4 linked regions of the Drosophila melanogaster genome follow. Changing the gene in region 4 together with the main gene of any one other region gives a genetic interaction. Each region holds a gene or a part of one and is shown on either strand. Other genes may lie near its edges.

Region 1 (5,638 bases), on a different chromosome or scaffold from region 4:
CTGGCCAGGGCTCCCTACCCCAGTCTGCACGACGAGTACTACAGAAGTCAGATGAAGGCGAAAACCTTCCTGCCCGAACGGCTCCGCAGGAACAGCTTGAGCTTGAACGCCACCCTGCTAAAGGCGTACCGGGATGGGCTCAATCAGAGCTACATATACATATTGTACGAGGACCGCCTGGAGCTGATCCTGATGCAGCAGTACCTGCTGAAGACGCCGCGCTTCAACATGATTCGCCAGGCCGTGGGTTTTACCCTCGAATCCTACTGCGTGTCCAACAGTCTGCCGTACTTGGCGATGACCAGTGAGTTCATGAGGCGCCTGCAGGAGCACGGGATCAGCATCAAAATGAAGGCGGACACTTTCCGGGAGCTCATCCATCAGGGAATCTATACCTTGATGCGCGATGATGAGCCGCCGGCTAAGGCATTCGACCTGGACTACTACTTTTTCGCATTTGTTTTGTGAACTGTGGGACTGATTTCGTCTCTTCTCGTTTTTTTCGCGGAACTCGTAAGTGGGCACCTTTAAGGAAGTTGGTTAGCGGGTGGCCCTTATCGGATCGTTTATTTCCTTATAAGGTGCACTTAACAAAAAACGCTTATTATGATAACTTATACAATTATTCAATCTGTCATGATGAGACCACTAATGGCATACCTTAATTAATTCAACTAAATCTCTACCCATTTCAAATCGGCCAGCGGTTTAAATATTTTGGGTATAAAGCAACGCTTACTTAATGTGTACTAATAGCGACTTCGACTCAGACCAAGTCTTCGACTCTTTTTGGGTTGCATGCAAATAGGGGACATGTCCTCCGCATCCTGTCTATTCTTTGTACAGTCCTTGGAGCGATTTAAGTCCCTGTCGGCCAGCGGAGTACTTGTCGAGGAAGGCTTGGGAGCGAATCGCTCCATAGTGGGTAAGGCGCAGGAAGTGGAAGTTTCAGTTGACAAAATGATCTTTCGCTTTCTTTTTAGTGACAGGAGGTTCCGGCGAGCTATTACGGACTTCTTGGTGGCCTGGTCCAGTGGTGATTTGCCGGCAAGTTGCGATAGTGAGGAGTGGATCTCCTGCGACCTTCTGGGTGTCCTCACCAATGGCTGGCTACACAGCGGATGCTCTTCCTTTGCAGAATGCTCCACGAAGAAGTCGTGTTTGAAATGCTCAATATCTGAGGTATTTTTTAGACTTTGTACATTGCAAAAAGTTGGCTTGTTGGCACTGTCTTCTGCCGCCGCTTCATCTACGAACTTGGCATCAATATTTCTCGATTCCTCAGAGATCACAGTTGGTTGGTTCGAGTCAGTGCTTGCATCGGCGGCTTGAAATTCACTCATGAACTGTGCAACTTTGATTTTCGTATTTTCCGAAATCACAATTCCTTTATTTGAAGCGGTACGAAAGCCGAAGAATTCGGTCTCAGATACGGTTTTAGTATTCACAGCCTTATTATTTTCAACATTTATTGAATGAATCTCATTGTTTGGAGAGGTGGGTAGAACATCAGGAAAATCGCTTGGCTGCCACCCGTTTAATTGGTCTGTAGCTTTAGACTGGGCCAGAAACATGGCTCCTCTCTTCTCCATCGCCTCGGTAATCTCAATGGCTTTGTTTGACGCTGTTCTAAAGCCGAAAAACTGTGATTCATTTAAGTCACGGCAAACTGGGTCAAGTGTGGGTTGATGCGGTTCCCGCATTGTAGTATCAACGACCACCAACTTGGAAGCTTTCGATCGCATTTCCTCTGAACTCTCTATTGATCTTTTTAAGGCTGTATCAAGTCCAACAGACGTCGGTTTGTCATTTGGCTGATGGACTAAATAATCATTTTGTTGAATTGTTTCTTTGGATTGAAACTCAGCCATAAACTCTGCAGTTTTGATTTTCATCTTCTCAGAAATCGGAATTGCCTTATTTGAGGCTGTGCGAAAGCCACAAAACTCGGGCTCTGCTATAGTATCGTTATTGAGAGGACTGAATTTTCCATTTATTTCTCCAACGTCAACTTTAGCTATTGCATTGTAGGTTTCCTTACCATCCAATATTTCGATGGGCTTGCTTGGGGCTGATTTGAATTCCGCACACTGTGTTGATTCCATTACTTGACTATGATTATCGGAGTATTCCTCAGTACGTAAGTTGCACTTGTGACTAAAGTGATATAGGCCGGATACAACTTTGTCTACAAACTCTTCGCCTTTAATTTTCATTTCTTCCGAAACCTCGATAAATTTGAAGGACTTCTTTCGAATGCCATTAAGTTGATGACTGCTTATGGTCTGACTTTTATTAGGAGTCTGCTTTTCTGGTTGCTCCTTGTCGTCCAGATTTATTGAATTGATGTTTTCTTTAGGCCCTTGAATTGCGTTTTTGGAGGTTGATGGGCCATTAGAGCACTGCATTGGTTGCCAATCATTAAAAAGAAACTCCTCAAGAAGCTCGCCGTCGTTCAATAGGTTTTCTTGCTCTGCAGCATTAGGCTGATCCAGAATAGTAGTTCCTTCGTTTTTCGTGTTAATATCACAAGATTGTTTTGAGGCTCCTCTAACCTTTGATGCATTTGAATCTTTGCTACTTTTTTGTTCTTTCTGGGAACTTGGCTCCAACTTTAACTTTTTATCGGGTATATGTTTGATTACATCTTTGGAGATCTCGGGCAGTTCCATCGGAGTTAGCCATTCACTTAGTGGTATGCCTTCTAATATGAAGTTTGTGTTCTCCTCTATGTCAACATTTTTTGCTTGCGTTTGGCCCATCAAAAGTTTCTTATTTTCAGCAATTTCGACATCAGCTTTTTTCAATGTAGAGTCTGCATCAGACCAAACATTACGTTTTCCACTTTCTATAAATAAGGGTTTATATTAATGAACTTCGCAACAACATAAATTGCATATGAATTACCCAATCGGAGGCGCGTAGTGGGAACCGATTGCATGCTATCGCCATAAATAGTGTCTGCCATAGTTCCTGGACCTACGTACATATAAAAGGAGTTACAAATGTGTTTCTTGCCATATCGATCCCACTCCCTACCTTCCTGCTCATGCTCATTTTCATAGAAAGAGGCCTCAAATGTAAATCCGCTCTGCAACAGGTCATCCCTCAAGTTCTCCAATTCAGCGTTGAAACACTCGTCACCAGAATCCTGCCTTGCTTCGGTTGGCAGATCTATTTGCGATGGGACAGGAGTCGGACCGGAAGCTGTCGCGGTCGCGGAAAAGTATTGACTGAGGTTCAAAAGGACCTCGTGTATCTTCTGTGATGAAGCATCGAAATCACAAGCCATAGATGTGAACGAAGTATTGAGATCCCTCTGCACGGAGAGGCCTGAGGAACCTCTACGCTTCTCGTTTTGAACGGCCTTGTGGCTTTTGGGATCCCTCTTCCGGCTGTAGGTTCTGATCCTTTTGTTGCGAAATCGAAACCACGGCTCCGACTCATGGCTGGGCTCATCCTCATCCTCTGCGTATGTTGGAGACGAGCAAAAGTCGCTCATGATCATCTCGACCTGGTCCTCGGGCGTGGGCTCTGCGTAGGACAAAATAAGATCCTCCACGGCGACGAAGTCGCTGTTGTCCACCGCAAGCCGCTCGTGACCCCGAGTCCGTCGAGCGATGGCGAAAGTCTGGCGATCGGCTTCGCATATTTTGGCCATTTCGTCGATAATGTTACTCCGATTTGCCGCCGCGGAAACTGTGGCGCCACGTTCGCGCGCATGGGCTCCTCTTCCTTGGGATAGCCTGTTCGGATGACTTCCCGATGCGCCATTCTGGTCCATCACGTCATCTAATTGTTTAAATGTGTTTTATTTGAAGTAAGCAAGTGTCCAATGCTTTTGTGGTTGCATTTCCAAAACAAGGGGTGCAGTGTTGGTAAGCGTTGCTTTGATGGCCATTATCCGCTAACTGTGGAGGGTGGACTTGCTAAGCAATCGGGAGCGAGAAAGTCATCGATGGTATGGCCAAGAACATGAAGGCCTCACGTATCGATGGCAGATGCATCGATGTTTTTTAACATCACTAATCACTAGTAGCGACAGTTTTTGCATAAAATACAATTAAATAATAAAGGGCCATCGCCGAAGCTGCAAAAACCAGGTTTTACACTGCTGCAATTGCTGAAGAGTCTAGTTTAGGTGCCACTCGAAAACAATACCGGAAAGTGTTACGCGAAAGCCCAGCAGAGCCCCAAAGAATCAGCCCAAAAGTGAAAGCCCCCAGAAAAAGTAAAGTACAAAAGAGCGAAAGGAAGAGCCAGAGAGGTAAAGAAAGAGAGAGCGAAGAGCGTTGAAAAGAGTCTGTGCGAGAGAAAAACGATTTTTTCAACTCCGCGAATCCTTGGTCATATTCCGTGTGCAAATCCTGGTAAGTGGGCATTCCGCTGGATTACGACTAGATTGGCCATAACGCAGATTCCCGACATCCCAGGTAAATCGGGAAGTGAAGTGAAATACTAGGACCAGGACAAGAACGCCGTCAAGATTCTCGGGCCCATCTACAGCGGTATCCAGATCCAGAGCCACGGCCACCAGGACGCAGAATCCACCTACAGCACCTACAGCACTCCACTAGCCGCCACCACGCTCCACAAACAGCCAGCAGCCATTATGTTCGTCAACTCCATGACGTTCCGCGGCAATCCGGCGAACTACCACCAGCAGCAGCCGGCCCTGAACCACCACACGCTGGCAGCGGCGCACCACCAGCAGCAGCTGCACCACCACGCCGCTGCAGCTGGTCACCTGAGCCACGTCGGCGGTGGGCACGCAGCCAGTAACCACCTGGCGGCCGCCGCTGTTCTCGGACGGCATGGCCACAACTCCCTGGGCAGCGGGCACACGTCCACGTCCTCGCACTCGGCCAATGTGGGCGTGGGAGTCGGCGGGGGAGCTCTGGCTAGCGGCTCCACTGGGGGCAGCGGAGGCAACAGCTCTCCGGACAGTGGCAAGATCTATATCAAGAACCTGGAGCGGTCCATCGACAACAAGGCGGTGTACGACACGTTCTCGGTGTTCGGAAACATCCTAAACTGCAATGTGGCCAAAGACGAGGATGGCAATTCACGCGGCTATGGGTTTGTGCATTTCGATTCGGAGGAGGCCGCCCGAGCGGCCATCGAGAAGGTGAATGGGATGCTGTGCAATAATCAGAAGGTGCATGTGGTCAAGTTCATACCACGGCGGGACCGGGAGCAGGAGAAGGCCACGCACTTCAAGAATCTGTATGTGAAGAACCTCAGCGAGGAGTTCACCGAGCAGCATTTGCGCGAGATGTTCGAGCCCTACGGCCGCATCACCAGTCACAAGGTACGTTGTTTGGTCACCTCATCTTCCCTACGGGGATGTTCGTGGGGCCGGGTGGTTGGACGACAACCATGTGGCACAGTTTTGCACTCTCTTAAGTCCTCTCTTGCGCCATTGCTGCGCATGCCCATGTAGCCACGAGGAGTTTGTGACGGCGGGGAAGATGAGGACTCCACCTGGCCCATCTGTGCTAATTTGTTTATATCATCGATTTGCTTTCTCCGATCCTTGCAGCTCATGCTGGACGAGGAGGGGCGCTCCCGGCGTTTCGGTTTCGTCGCCTACGAGAACCCACAGTCGGCGCTGGCCGCCGTAATTGGCCTGCACGGC
Region 2 (5,561 bases), on a different chromosome or scaffold from region 4:
GATGCGCAATAAAAAAAACTGTATAGAACACACACACACAAACATATGCAGGGACTGACAGACTACTTTACATACTGACGAAATCATTGCGGTTACTTTCGAAAATTACAATTTTCCAAGATTGGGCATCTTCTGCCGGCGGGAAACTGCCGATCATGCCACCATGTTTTTATGTAATTCCGTTTATTGAGTTTTTCCACTACAATTAGCCTAGGCAAACGGAAACTCGCGCCTTTACACACACACACGCACATGCTAGCACACACACACGTGCAACTGTATGCGCCACTATATTCAGTTATTTACACAATCTCATTTATTGTATTCCACATGTCTCGATCAATTCTGCAGTAAAAATCAGTTATATGTGCTTTGTGTCCTATCTATATTCGCCCAGATTCCAGCGAAAGGGCAGTGGAAAAAGGTTTTCAGCGCGAAAGTAATCGTACTCACTAACACATGCAAGCAAGAACACACCGACAGCAGGCAGGCAGCACGCAAGAATTTGTAAATTGCTTAAAAATTAAGTAGTATTTTTTTTCATTATACGCACAATTCGGCCGTTCCGAAAAATTGCCCGTAGCACAATTGGCAAATATTTTTTGCAAACACAATGGCGTGACTCGCACTGTAGGAATTACGGTTTTCGCTTCACGGACTTTTTTCCTCATTTATTTTTTTCATCGCTTAGACTGCTCTGCTACGCTTTTGGCAAAACGACGTGTATCGAAGCTGTACTCGTTTCTGTGCCAGACCAAAGTGCGCTGTCGCCCAGCTGGTTGTCTCGCTCTTGCACGTGCGCCGCCTATGGCGGTGGCGCGGCCCACTGTTGTGTGTGCGAGCGAGATGACCAGTGTCTATGGCAGGGAGCTGCAAACTATCGGCTGTGATAGCAATATATCGAGTAGATACTGGAGTGGTGCGCACTTTCGACTAGCGACTATCGATTCTCGGAATAATTTTCCGCCTTGTTTTAAATAATTTATTATTTATTTATTGTTGTACTTCAGTACTGGGTTCAGTTTTGCGAAACGTAATATTTCTTATGTTCATACTATCGAATGTTATCGACTCAGTCGATAGCAATGCAGATATGCCTGCTTACGCAAGTTGCAGCCCTGGTAATTTATTTAGACTTTGTTTCGGAATTGGATGGACAACGAAAGAGCTAATAATTCGTTTTTAATGTTTTATGTCAAAGGAAGTGAACGTATAGTCCTCGATTTCCTGGATTTGCGAAAATTCAGCCTTTGAGACCTTAGCGTTGGGAATTCGGTTGTTCTCCAGCCAATGTTTCCTTCAAATTAGTGGGCGATGGTTAAATGATTGAATTAGTGGAGTGCAGCGGTACCTACATTTCCATTAAATTCATCATAGGAGCCTCCAGTTGTCCCTTGACGGTCCCATCCCGGGTATTCATGCACCAGCCCCTAACTCCCAATCTTTTAGCCTCATGCGACGTGTGCTAAGCCAAAAATGTACATAAGTTAAATGTTGATTTCCAGATATATATATAGGCCTCCCAGTACTTACTTTGCGGAAGAACACACCTGCAAAATTTAATACGCTGTTTAACAAGCCGAATCAGAAAAATGCATTGCATACCTTGCACTCGTCCAAAGATCTCGAAATCGAGGGCAAATATCTGCTTGGCAACTCCAGATCCCGCCATTATGTAGTCGTGATCAGATTTCTGATGCCACTTAGATTCCTTGCAGCACTCAAATTTCTAAATAGAGCTAGCAAAAACTGAATGTTGACAACCAAAATAGAATTATTATTAAATTGTAACATAGTTATCGTAGCCAGGGCGACAACGCAAAACCAGGGGCGTTCAGTAGAAAATACCGTGAGGTCAGTATTTAGACAGTACACACACCTCTTGTGAACAACAATATACTGTAGGTCATCAAGCTCATCTCTAGCTAATGTTTACCGTTGCTTTTCAACGCAGGACGCACTTGGTAAAAGTTTAGGTAAACTAAACAAAACGTTTGTAATGTACAATATATATTTATTTCTTTTATAAATTAGTTGCGCTAATACAACTGCTTAGCTGGCAAAATGACGGGCGCCAAGAAAAGATCGGGAGCACCGTTAGTGGATGCAGCTCACTCGAAAGCCCCAAAACCAGGTACAGTTGCCCAAGAAAAAAACAGCCAAATTCCAACTGTTTGGAAAAAGGATCATGTAAAAACTCAACTTTTCGAAAGATCAAACGAAAAGCCATCCAAAAAAAGAACTCCGCTAGTGGCTCCTAGAGTTCAGCAATCAAAAATTGAAGCGCAAACTTCTCAGGCTGTGGAAAAAACACAGGAAGACCAAACTTTTGCAGCCACCATAGACAGTTCAACAAAAAGTCTAAAAAAGTCTCCCAAAAACGAGGGAGAATTATGGGCAGATATTCAGAAGCTGTCGCCCCACACGGGAATAATAATTCATAGCTTCATAAAGCAGTACAACGAATCGCTAAATAATCTCAAGAAGAAAGACTTGGTGGTCAGCAAGAAAATGAGAGCCATCGCCATGGACTCGCTGAAGAAAAAATCGGAAAATATCAGCTTGAAGGAAAAGTAAGACCTTCCTTCTTCAATACAGTTCCTGCCTGCAGTGAGCTTATTCTTTCAGGTTGACAAATATGGAACTGGAGCTGACCCAACTGAAAACTGATCTTATCGAGCAGCAGGAGAAGAACGCAGAGAACATCCAGAAGTACACGGAAATCAACAAAAAGTACACCCACTGCGAGCAACATTACGACAAGGAGCTGGAAATCATTAAAGTATGTGTTGAGAAGAAAAATTCAGAGCTCCGAGATGCTCAATCCCGGATGGCCCTGCAGGCGCAAGAGGTGAGTTTACTATATTTTAAAATATATAGATATAAATTTATATATATCTACATGTGTATCTCACTTTGCAGCTGAATAATATGCAGCAAACGAATCGTGAGTTAGCTGGAGCCTGCGAGAATTATAAAAAGGATTTGGAAGAAGCAGAAGTGGCCAAATCTATGATTCTACATGAACTTACCGATCTCAAAGAGCTCCACGAAGACCTACAGCTTCAATTTGAAGATGTGTCTGCACAAAAGGAAAAGTTTGAGGTGGGTTACACTGGCTTTCCTTGTATTAGATTATAACATTATGTTCTCCACAGGCAAACATTTTACAATTAAGCAGCGACTTAAATGCAAAGATGCTTGACTGCGCCCAGCTTGAAGATCGCATTGAGCAGCTGCCAATAGAGGCCAACAAAGCTTTGTCGAAACTGCAACGTGATTTAGAAGCCAGTGAATTGCAGTTCGTGGATCAGCAACGATTGACTGATCAGGCAACGAGGGAACTCGAACTTGTTCGCAATGAGATAAATACGTTTAAGACTCTTATTGAGGAAAAGGAAAGAAGACATGTTTCCCTAAGTGATGAACTAACTCAAATGACGGAGAGATTGAGCGAGCTCGCTGATATCAACGAAAGTTATATCAATGAGTTGACTGAAACAAAATTGAAGCACTCCCAGGAAATAAAAGATCAAGCAGATGCCTACGAGGTTGGTCTGAAAAATACTAAATTCATATTTTATTGTATCTTGATTATTTATTCTCCTTGACAGATTGTTGTTCAAGAGTTAAAAGAGAGCTTGAACAAGGCTTCAGTTGATTTTACTCAGCTAAAAAGCAACAGTGAGAAGCTACACAAAGAAACCCTTCTGCAGGTCTCCGAACTGCAGGAAAAACTTATAGAAATGGTGTCCCATCGCAGCAATCAGGAAGAGCTAATAAAGCGTCTTGGTAATGAAATTCAAGAAAAAACTCATAATTTTGAAGAAGAACTCAAAAGGCAACAGGAGCAGCTTGCTAATCAAATGCAGATGAAGGCCACTGAAGTTGAGAGCGAAAATAAGCGAAACGCTGTTGAAATACAAAAACTTAAATCTGAACTCGAAGAAAGGAATAAAGCTTTTAAGGCTCAACAGGATAAATTGGAATATTTGATTAGTGATCATGATACGCTAAAGAGCGCTATTATCAATCTTCAGGCTGAAAAGAAGGAAATCGAGAGTGAATTATCCACGGCCAAAGTTAAATTTAGCGAGGAATTACAGTCTCAGAAAGATAACCTAATGGTAAGACTTATAAATTCTTTTTCATTAACCTTTTTTCTACAAAATGATTTATTATTTTTATATAGAAAAAGGTATCCGAATTGGAGCTTGAAATTAAAAGAAAAGAAACCGAATTGATTGAACTTGAGCGTGAAAAGAACGTAAGTCTATCGGACTCATTATATTTCATGTTATATATTTAAAATTGCCCAACAGAATGAAATGGCTGTGCTACAATTTAAAATGAATCGAATTAACTGCCTGATCGACCAACCAGTGACCACAATTAAACAGCTAAAAGATTCCAAAGGGCCAACCAGAACTGAGAGCATTCCTACTAAGGTGCAACCGGAAAATACAGACGAATTTTCAAGCACTGCCAGAAAGCGTAATGCTCGTCGTCAAAAAATTACCACATATTCCTCCGACTTTGATAGCGGCGATGATATACCAGTGAGTATTTGTTAATTGCACCTATAATCGAAATTAAATTATTGAACTTTTATTACAGATCGTGGGCAACTCTTTAAGCGGCAAACGTGCCAAATTATGTGCGCCCATCAAGCCACAAAATAATATTGATATGTTCGACATGTTGAAGAATTCTAAATAACTAAGCAGTACAACGAACATACAGACAACATTATCAATTCTTACACTTTGTTTTTAGTAAAATGGAAGAATATTGAGCTTAGAAATTCATTCAGATCCATCATCATTTAAACATCTGTACTTCTTTGAAAACTTGTCTGAAACTGGCAAGCTATTTTTAAGAACATGATTACTTTATGTTATTTAATCCCATTTTGTATCTAATTGTTAAATTAAAACTCATATCTTGAAGTATCTTGTTCAAATAGATCCAATCTATTTGATTATAGTTTTTGTAATAAAAACATTACATGTACTTTGTTGAAACACTTTAATTAATAACACACTTTTGTCCTCATTTCTTTAAAGGACACCAAACAGATTTTGAAATCATACCAAAAGTAAAAACTGGTAAAAACAAAACGTAAAATGATCGATACTAAACTATGTTTTGATGATATTTATCAGGCGGTCGACGTCAGCAGCATTCACGACTCCGTCCGCCTTAATTCCAGATTCCTCCATTGCCTTCCTGGTGCCACTGCCCACGGCTATCAGCTTGCGATCCTTAAGCGAAACGTTGTAGTTCCCAAAGAACTCCAAGGAGCTGCGGACACTGGAGGGTCCGAAGAACACAATCGTTTCCATTCGCTTGAATTTGAGGGCGTGCCGCATCTGATTGACGAAATCCGGATGCGACCGACTCTCGTACACTTCGCAGGCATCCACCCGGAATCCCTGGGCGACCAAACGGAGGCGCAGTGTCTGACCCACGCCATTGCCGCAGGGCATGAGCAGTGGCAGATCCCTCTTGGGTCCAAACGTCTCCACGATCAGATCGCACAGATTGTTTGCATTCACGGC
Region 3 (3,951 bases), on a different chromosome or scaffold from region 4:
CATATAGGGCTGTCATAACTAGAATAAAAGAGATATATTTCTGTTAATCAGCTTTAATGTCAATTAATTGTTAACAAGTCTTGATAAAAGTTACTTCAAATCTAAATCTTAAGACATCCACGGAAGTTTCTAACGTTAAATACACTTTAGGATCCACACCAACGAACGACCGTACAAATGCGAGTTCTGCAGCAGGTCCTTTGGCTACTCCAACGTCCTCCGGGTTCATCTGAAAACCCATACCGGTGAACGACCATTTAGCTGCCAGTACTGCCAGAAGTCCTTCTCCCAGCTGCACCACAAAAACAGCCACGAAAAGTCACACAAAAGGACGAAAGAGGTGAAATGATTGCAGTGACTAAGAGGAAACATTGAGGTGCAAATTAAATAAGTTTCTCGTTGAAAATTGTACAATATATTAATGGATAAGTTCTAAGCCATAGGGCACCGCCATTAAAATTTGTCATTTTTCCTTATTTAATTTTTTATAAGAAGTAAAAAACAAATTGTACAAAAAAATATATCCTGTGTACATTTATTTGCTTAATGGAAGAACTTAAACAACGGCTTACTAAATACTTAGACTAAACTTTGCATAAGAACTAAAAAGAACATGTCACTCTTTGGGGAGTTCATTGAGAAACTCCGGCGTTTCCCCCTTGACATCTTCTGCTTTGGTGCTCTCTTCTGCGTCATTTCTCCAGGTGATACGTCTATTATGCGTTTCCCGATGCAAACGCAATTTGTAGGCCTTCACAAATCCTTTGCCACAAAGATCACAGCTGAAAGAGAATAGCTATTATTGCAGGATAATGAAGTAGTAAAATATGTTGATGCTTACACATGCGGCTTCTCCCCCGTGTGAATCATCTTGTGGAACTTCAGGTTGTCCGAGTAGGTAAACGTTCTGGAGCAAACGTCGCACACGTAGGGACGCTCCTTAGTGTGAATTCTGGAGAGAAATAATGTCAGTTTAATTTACTTTCAACTGTTTCGAATATTTCTCACCTATGATGTTTGGTTTTCGTGGATCGATCGGCGAAGGCAGCTGGACAGTAGTTGCACTTGTATGGTCGGTTCCCCGTGTGAGTGTTCATGTGCCGTACCAGCTGTTGATTCTGCACAAAGCCTCTTCCGCAGATCCTATAATAACATCCTATTAGCCATAGTTACTATTTACTTTCAACTTTTAAACCTACTCGCACTCGTGTGGTTTAACACCAGAATGGAATTTCATGTGCTCGGTGAGACGCGCCTGAGTCGGATAGATATTTCCGCACACATCGCAGATGTATGTGCTCAGCTTGTTGCGCGGCTTTCTGCCCACCTTCTTTTTGAAGGTTTCCACTTTTGGGCTATTCTTGTGGTATGCAACTGGCTTCCTGCCCGATCGGTCGCATTTTTCCGGCTTAGCATGAGTTGGGTCATAATCTTCGTCAGAGTCGAGTATGTCTTCAGCAATTTCTTCTTCGGGCGGCTCCTCTGTGGCAACATCTGTGCCGGTGGAGCCTTTTTCCTGTGCGATTTCCGGCGAGTTTTCGTTGGTGAGCAGTTCGTATTCCTCGTATTCAGCATAGGTTTCAGCCTCCTCGATCTCATTTGGCACCGGCTGCGTGGGATCGTGCACATCGAACATATTGGTATCATCAGTATCACCATCCTCCACGACATAGGTGATAACCTGATGTTGCTGATCCTCCTCGCCCTCCACTTTCATGCCGCCATCCAGCTGACTGGCGTAGTCCTCCCACGACTTCAGTACGCTCTCCACCGAAAGGTCCTCCGCGATGCTAAGCAAATCCCCTTCGCCGGCGGCGTTAGCATTGCTGGCCTCCCGGTCCAGCATGTCCATAATGTGCTGATGGGATCGCTGGCATGTCAGACGGAACTTGTAGCAGAGCCGCAGGCAGCGCACGCACTTGCTGCACATCTTGTCCGGGAAGTTGTCATCTAGGCTGACCTGTTTGGGTTGGAATAATTTAAAATGGGCAAACCAAGCAGGATTCACACTTACTGGAATGCCTGCGCAAATGTGCAGCATTTGGTCCAGTCGCGTGCTTGCCGTTTCGCTGAATATGTCGTGGAGCAGCTCCTCGCCCTCGCTGGGATTGTTCAGGCAAACGCGGCACACCACCCACTTCTCGTTGGACTCAGTTTTCATGGCTAATTCGATAAAACAATCACTTCGGTTGTTGCAGAAGATTCAAACAGCTGAATTTAAGCGTCCACGGCCACTGGCCATTCACAGCGAAACGCGCCCGCCAAAGTTGATACGGTGAATGCACGTTATGAACGACTACATGGAGCGTACAGGGTACATAGCTGTATGTGCACTTTTTACCAAACAAATGTTTTAAATAATTTTTTTTTGGTAGAAAATAATATAAAAATGCGCGTCATTTTATTAATTTTATTTTCAATTTACAAATATTGAAGGAAAATGGTTTTAAGTTCGTTTATATAATAAAAAGGAAAAGCACTATTCTATCAAAGTAGTTTTGTTTCAGTACAGTAATGACCACACTGTCTTATGGAACGATGGAACTTTACATGAGCTTGACATATAATATTGTATTAAACTGCTTAATCAAGCTTTTATATATTTAAATTGTAAAACACTTGAATTCCAATTTTACTGATTTATTTAACTGCCCACAAAATGCATTCGTATTCTTAATTATATATTTAATATTTGAAGTAGCGAATGGAATACCCTTAGCGTCGACTGTGGTCACCCTGTGTGGCGACATTCGCATTGCAACGCGTGCACTTCGCTCCAGACTACAATCTATTTTTTTGGCGTCGTCTTCGTCCAGCGAGCGTGTTATTATAAATATTATAGCGGAGGGTAAGTAGCCTCCTGGAAGAGATCCATCTCCTATTCGCGACAATGAGAGACTCGGCAGCACATGCGAGTCCGGCGGCAGCGGCAACGAGCACGCAGAAGTGGATCGTTTGCCGGGTTTGCCTGCAGCAGCCCAAGGAGCCCATGGCCAGCATTTTCAACGACGATTCGGAAAAGGATCTGACCCACATGATTCGCGAGTGCGGCGGAGTGCCCGTAAGTTTGTCCCATTGGACCCCGAACCATATAACAATGCAATTTCCTTGGCAGATCAAACAGTTCGATCACTATCCGGACAAGATATGCGAGAAGTGCTTCAAGGTGCTGAAAATGGCATTTAAGTTTCGAGAGACCTGCCAAAGATCGTACGGCCATCTGCGCCAGTTCGTTGGACCCGTAGAGGTGGAGCAGCGACCACCGGAGAAAAAGGGCTCAGAGACAGCCACCAAGCTGGAGCCGGATGTCGATCCCGATGAGGCGGAGCAGGAGCCAGAGCATGACGAGGAAGACGAGGATGTGGACCTGGACGAGAGCCACTATGCCGAGGCGGACGATGCCGCCGAAACGCAGGGTGGTGTCTTCCATGACGAGATTGAGGATGGTATCCTCGTTGAGCTGGAAAAGGATCGGATTGTGCACGTGAAGAACGAGCAGGTGGAGGAGGACGGCATAATCGAGGAGGTTTATGACGTGTATGAGACGTACGAGGGCGACCTCATCCCAGATCAGGGCTATGACCACGAGATGGCCGATCAAGCCCTGTCCGAGTTATCTGCCGAAATCGAATACCTGGACCAGGTCGAGCATGATCAGTTGACCGAAAGTGCCCACGAGGATGATGCGGAAGTCGATCTGAACTCAACCGAAGAGGAGTTCGTTCCCTCAAAAAGCGTTCGCGCGTCCATCCATGCGCGGAATGCCACCAAGCGGAGAGTGAATCCCCGCAGGTCAGCTACATCGACGGCCTCGGTGGCTGTAGAATCGAGTACCTCCAAGACAACTGACCGCGGCAATCCACTTAAGGTACGGCGGGGTAACAGTGATTCGGCTGGCAGCAAAATGAGCATCAAATCCGAGAAGGACATCTCGATTGGCGAGGTGCTGGC
Region 4 (5,367 bases):
CTGTGAAGTATATACCAAATCTATTATTTAAGAATAAGGTGGGTAGTCGTCGCCGGTTGAGCCCTCTGTTTACTTTATCTCATTACCACATTATTGTTTGTTGTTTCACATGCAGTATCACTCCATGAGCAAGATAGGCAAGTGTTCGGTTCCCTTTTTGTTTATTTCGGGCCTTGCGGACAACTTAGTGCCACCGCGCATGATGCGTGCCTTGTATACCAAATGCGGCAGCGAGATAAAGCGCCTGCTCGAATTCCCCGGCGGATCGCACAACGACACTTGGATAGTGGACGGGTATGGCCGGCAATTAATCTTCACTTTCCCATTTATCCATGGGTGTGCTTGCTTTTTAGGTACTATCAGGCCATCGGTGGGTTTTTGGCCGAGCTGCAGCAACAGCCGCTCCTCAAGGCGCCGGAGAAGAGCAACGTCTGGGTGGAGCTGGAGCATAAAATTATTGATGTATAGACCCGAATACATCAAGTGTTCAATTGACTGTGTTAACACTGCGAATGGTTTAATACTTATACATATACACACGCATAATATTAATCTGTATCTGACAGGGTTTTAATCCGGACGTTGCTATACGCCAAATTGCTTTTTATGTGCAGAGAATAACGTGCTAGCGGAGATGGCTGTTGATTTTAAGTAACCAACTTAAATAACTTTGCGCTTAAGCAAGTGAATACACACTAGAATCCGAATTTCGATGTTTGCTTGTATTTGTCCTAAGCTATGTTAACCTACTACTTTGCCCGATTGGCGGCCAGTTAAGAGTATAGAAATTGATCAGTATTTCACAAAAAAGTAAACTATTTTCTGGACTGACTCCTACATTGCCAGATTAGTTTATAGAAGCCTTCACCCCTAGCACGTTAACATTTTGTGCTGGTTCCATTTTTGAAATGTTAAATTAATAACTTGTTAGGATTGCAAAGGAAGCCAGAAAAAGTTATCTTAAGTTTAGACTTAAGTGCGAAGAAAAAGGAAATTCGAGAAACAATAAACTGCAAACAATTGCTAGAATCCACGGAAGTCCTCATCGGCACTGTCATCACTGGCGGGCGTGGATGATCGTTTGCGGCTTTCTGGTTTTTCCTCTGGCTGATCTGTTGCTTCCTCCTCAGCACTCGGCACAATTTCCTGAGCCTGCGATCGGTGGTGGAAGACAAAGGACACGCACTTGCAATCCATCCAGGCCTGGGCGAGAATATTGTCAGGCAGGCCTCTGTTGTTGGAGCAATGGTACCATTGTGACAAATGCGAGGTGCAGTCCGTGTCCTCGGGCGGTGGCTTCATTTGTATATTTTGAACGCAGCGCTTACACTTGAGCCTGAAAAGATATGTTACACGATCATGATCTAAAGGGTATCCAAAGCCAGTTCTTACTTGTCGTGTGTGTCGGACAGAATGTTCGCATCAAATGTAAACAAGTCCTTCAGATCGTCGCGGGTGAAATGCTTCTCGGCCGACTCGTTGTTGTCAATGATGGTGCTCGACAGGGATTTTTTGTGCGTCTGTCGCTGCAGGATCTTCTCCTCGATGGAACCACTCTGAAAGAGATTTCTTGAGTTGAAAAAGAAAGTTCCGTGCAGAACCAATTCAGGTACTCACGGCAACGAGGCGATATATGTAACAGGGCTTCTTTTGCCCGTCACGCCACACTCTGGCCATTGCCTGCTCATCGTTGGCCGGATTCCAGTCTGGGTCAAACATGAACAGGCGGTTGGCTCCAATCAAATTCAAGCCGCAGCCGCCAGCCTTGCTGCTCAGCATGAAAAGGAAGCTGTCAGACTCCGGGTCATTGAATCGGTCAACAACCTTCGATCGCTTCTTGATGGACATGGTGCCATCAAGCCGGACAAATCCGTACTTTCGCTTCCTCGCGAGCTGCTCGAACAAGTCCAGGGTCTGTGTGTAATTGGAAATGAGAACCACCTTGTCGTTGCCCTCTGCACGTATTGCTGCCAGCATGAAATCCAGGAGCATGAACTTGCCACTTAGCTCTGGATTGAGATCCCTGGAACACAAAAGATTCATTAATAGCCATTGCTATTCGCGCGCAACAGGCGACGTACTTTGGTTTGTAATTACTAGGCAGCACATTTTGGGAGTTTTCGAATCCCTTTTCCCGCGCAGTGAGCTTCTCATATATGAGATCCGGATGACTGCAAATCTTCTTAAGCGTTGTAATGTCTGCCAGCGCCGTAAGCGAAGCCTTTTCATTGCAATCTTGAAGGGAATTGTAAATGGTAGGAATGTTGTGGTAGTATTGCCTAATGACTTACCCGCCAAACTACGTCGAACTTGATCAGACTTCAAGAAATTCGTGTATAGCTCGAGTTGAATCGCCGTCAGTTTCGCACAGATAACCATTTCAAACTTAACCGGCAGATATTTGGTTAGAATTTGATTAGTGCGACGAATGATGCACTGATCGACCAGACCTATCAGCTCCTGTGTCTTCTCTATGGCCCGTTGTCGCTCCTGTTCCGTGGAGTCAGTATTCTGGCCCCGCAGAATAGCGCTCTCGAAGTTGCGCTTAAACACGGCCGCCGTTCCCAGCATCTCCGGGTTTACAAAGTTCACCAGGCTGTAGTACTCAGTAAGATCGTTCTGGATGGGAGTGCCGGAAAGCAAGACCCGTCGCTTTGTCTTCAGTCCCATGAGAGCCTGATACGTCAGATTGTCGCTGTTCTTGAGGCGATGTCCCTCGTCGCATATCACCATTCCCACCTCGTACTTGCACAGGATCTCCGCGTAGATGCGAAATGTCTCGTAGCTGATGAGCAGAACAGGTGTCCCCAGCCGGGCAGAAGTCATGGAGAACTGCTCGAGTGCTCGGATGGTGTTCTCCTTGGTCCCGCCCTCCATGGGCAGGCAAAGGAGTCGACCGTGAAGCCACTTGGTAAACTCCTTCTCCCAGTTCTTAACCAGCGATGATGGAGACACGACAATGGCTTTGTTGATCGTCGGCTTGCACTCGGGCCCCTGCCTTAGAAGTGTCCAGACCAGCGTTACGCACTGCAGCGTCTTCCCGAGACCCATTTCGTCGGCCATGATGCATCCATTGAAGTTGCCCCGCTTTCCCTCCACACACTCGTACATGAAACGCACTCCCTCGCGCTGGTGCGGCCGCAATATGTTGCTCAGCAGCGGATCGACGACGACGTGCACCAGAACCTTGGTCGGATCCATGCCCATGCGCTCGTGTTCTGTGTAGGCGGGTGGATGGAAGAGTACCAAGGCGTTGCAGGCCATCGGATCGTGTAGGGGTCGTCGGGAAATGCAGCGCCGCACGCCCAGGACCCGTTTACCACCGTAATCCGGTACGTAATTGTCCATGGGCACCTTGAACTTCCGTGCCAGAACCTTGGCAATGGCCAACTCATACTCGCTGTTCGCCGTGAAGCGAATAGGCAGTGGGAGCTCTGATGTGTTGCTGGCATCTCGGAGGGCGCCCAGTCGTCTTCTGTCCAGTTCTTGCTCTCGCTCCAGTTCCTGCTGGCAGGATCGCTTGTTTTTCTTCAGCAGTGGCGGCGTGAAGGAGTGACGGGACTCGGGACGCAGTGGTCCACGTTGGCTGGGAGCCAGACTGCGCCGCTTTAGGAATAAATGATTAGGGAAATGGAATTAAATAAATCAAATTTTTGTATTTACCATTTCATTAAATTCAAATGGCGGTAGCGCGAACAGCTGATAGAAGCGCGGAAGTCTGGTCACACAGGCGATAAGAAATACTGGTAAGTGGAACGCTGGGATAATGAAACAGAACGCATTTAATCAAACTAATACTTGTGATCATAGCACGCTGTTTTAAAAGTGAATAGATAATTAGATAAAAATAAAACTAAAATGGAATTGCTACACCCCGATGTCAAAAATTCCCGATGTATCTCAGGTATAATCGAAACATCGATATGTTATATTGATAGCTGCTCATCGCTAACTTTCTATTTCCGTGCAGATATAATTGTAAATATTTACGCAGAATTGCTTTGGAAACACTACGAAAATAGTGCAAAATGAGGCAATAAAGTGCGGGCCGGACTGCCTTCCCTTTCTTGACTTCAAAACCCGCGCCAAAAGCGCGAATTTCGTGCTGCAAGAACGCAAATCTAGTCCGCAAATCTGCGGAAGTGTTGGTACTACCACTTAATTGTATTTGTAATTGTAATTGCCAAAGTGCCAAAAAAAAAAACGCTGCAAATGCTGCAAGCGTGAAAACCCATCTAAGAAGGGCCACTAAACAGTAATGGGTGTAGATGCACGATGCACGGAGAGCGGAAAGCAGCGGAGACGATGACGATGATCAAATCTAAATTCATCAGGTGAGCGAGCAGCAGCAGCAACAACAACCACAGTGAGTGCCCAAATAGGTGGGCACACGTACACAGGTGTGTGTGTGGCTGTGTGCGTAAGTGTGTCACTTGTTGTTCTTGGGAACATTAGAGAAAAGTAAATAGCGAATATTCAACTAAAGTGCGTCTTCTTTTAGCTTCTAAATATTTAAAAAGCGAGCAACATTGAAATACTCACCACTCACACAGTCGGACAAAAGCACAAAACGAGAGATAACAGAGCACCAGCACCACCAATTCATGCCAAACGAAACGCACACGGAGCAGTTATCAGCGGACCAGCGCCACTAAAAGCCACCGAATCGCACACACACCGCACCGACAACGATGTGGCTGCGCCAGAGCAGCGGTGGAGGCGTTGCCTCCGTCGGACACGTCGGCCCACTGCGACAGCGACCCATCGACGCTGCCACAGACTGCGATCCGCGCGCTTGCTACGACAGCTTCTGTAAGCACTGGCAGCAGGCCTTCGAGATCATCCAGCACAGTGCACCGCCCTCGCACGACGACGTGCTGGGCGTGGTCTCGCACTTGGACTACATGGTCACCCTGCTGCTCGTGGAGCTGCATCACTGCAACAAAGTCTCGCTGCCGGCGGCCGAGGCTAGTGGTCCGCCTGCGGCGCCCTGCCTGGAATTCCTGCTCAGCGAGAATCTGCTGGACAAGCTGTACGAGTGGGCCTGCACCACGGGACGGTATGCCAACGCTGTGAGGCTGGAGCAGCTGAAGCTGTACGAACTGCTCGTCAGCCACTCGCGCCACCAGCTGCTCTGCCACGAGCCCTTCCTGCGACCCCTGCTCAAGATACTGGCATCCAGCCAGGGCGAGATCTTTCCGCCCGATCTCGAGAAGCGCCTGGTGATCCTGCTGAACCAGCTGTGCGTGGTTCTTATGCAGAATGTCCACCTGCTGGACCTCTTTTTCTTCTCCGCCCAGACGCAGGTGCAGGAGCAGATATTAAATGGCAACGTGGCGCCACCCAAAAGCGGAACCACTACCAAGT

The links.
Region 1: of okr (region 4) and Brca2, changing one suppresses a phenotype caused by changing the other (phenotypic suppression), as found in Drosophila melanogaster (one study listed by BioGRID).
Region 2: of okr (region 4) and c(3)G, changing one suppresses a phenotype caused by changing the other (phenotypic suppression), as found in Drosophila melanogaster (one study listed by BioGRID).
Region 3: of okr (region 4) and trem, changing one suppresses a phenotype caused by changing the other (phenotypic suppression), as found in Drosophila melanogaster (one study listed by BioGRID).

The regions. Positions count from the first base shown.
Region 1 is NT_033778.4:24,524,447-24,530,084, reverse strand, and holds Brca2 (BRCA2, DNA repair associated), read right to left. Parts: upstream 3,914-5,638; 5' UTR 3,785-3,913; coding exon 3,040-3,784; intron 2,980-3,039; coding exon 2,908-2,979; intron 2,849-2,907; coding exon 750-2,848; 3' UTR 532-749; downstream 1-531. Other genes in the region: CG4612 (uncharacterized protein), read left to right, coding at 4,613-5,311, 5,543-5,638. UniProt on the Drosophila melanogaster protein: Involved in and required for double-strand break repair by meiotic and mitotic homologous recombination. During meiosis, has a dual role in the repair of meiotic double-stranded breaks and the efficient activation of the meiotic recombination checkpoint.
Region 2 is NT_033777.3:15,788,946-15,794,506, reverse strand, and holds c(3)G (crossover suppressor on 3 of gowen), read left to right. Parts: upstream 1-1,927; 5' UTR 1,928-1,976; intron 1,977-2,034; 5' UTR 2,035-2,064; coding exon 2,065-2,573; intron 2,574-2,628; coding exon 2,629-2,851; intron 2,852-2,922; coding exon 2,923-3,105; intron 3,106-3,158; coding exon 3,159-3,551; intron 3,552-3,614; coding exon 3,615-4,127; intron 4,128-4,192; coding exon 4,193-4,267; intron 4,268-4,322; coding exon 4,323-4,559; intron 4,560-4,617; coding exon 4,618-4,719; 3' UTR 4,720-5,034; downstream 5,035-5,561. Other genes in the region: Acyp2 (acylphosphatase 2), read right to left, coding at 1,183-1,297, 1,356-1,465, 1,534-1,550, 1,606-1,672; Uros2 (uroporphyrinogen III synthase 2), read right to left, coding at 5,142-5,561.
Region 3 is NT_033777.3:20,029,050-20,033,000, forward strand, and holds trem (trade embargo), read right to left. Parts: upstream 2,261-3,951; 5' UTR 2,162-2,260; coding exon 2,015-2,161; intron 1,961-2,014; coding exon 1,200-1,960; intron 1,144-1,199; coding exon 1,009-1,143; intron 953-1,008; coding exon 842-952; intron 783-841; coding exon 617-782; 3' UTR 511-616; downstream 1-510. Other genes in the region: CG4854 (uncharacterized protein), read left to right, coding at 151-349; idc (identity crisis), read left to right, coding at 2,891-3,061, 3,116-3,951.
Region 4 is NT_033779.5:2,989,044-2,994,410, forward strand, and holds okr (okra), read right to left. Parts: upstream 3,717-5,367; 5' UTR 3,667-3,716; coding exon 3,664-3,666; intron 3,607-3,663; coding exon 2,292-3,606; intron 2,236-2,291; coding exon 2,082-2,235; intron 2,024-2,081; coding exon 1,618-2,023; intron 1,557-1,617; coding exon 1,393-1,556; intron 1,337-1,392; coding exon 1,024-1,336; 3' UTR 551-1,023; downstream 1-550. Other genes in the region: Bem46, read left to right, coding at 1-38, 116-294, 354-468; CG3558 (uncharacterized protein), read left to right, coding at 4,692-5,365.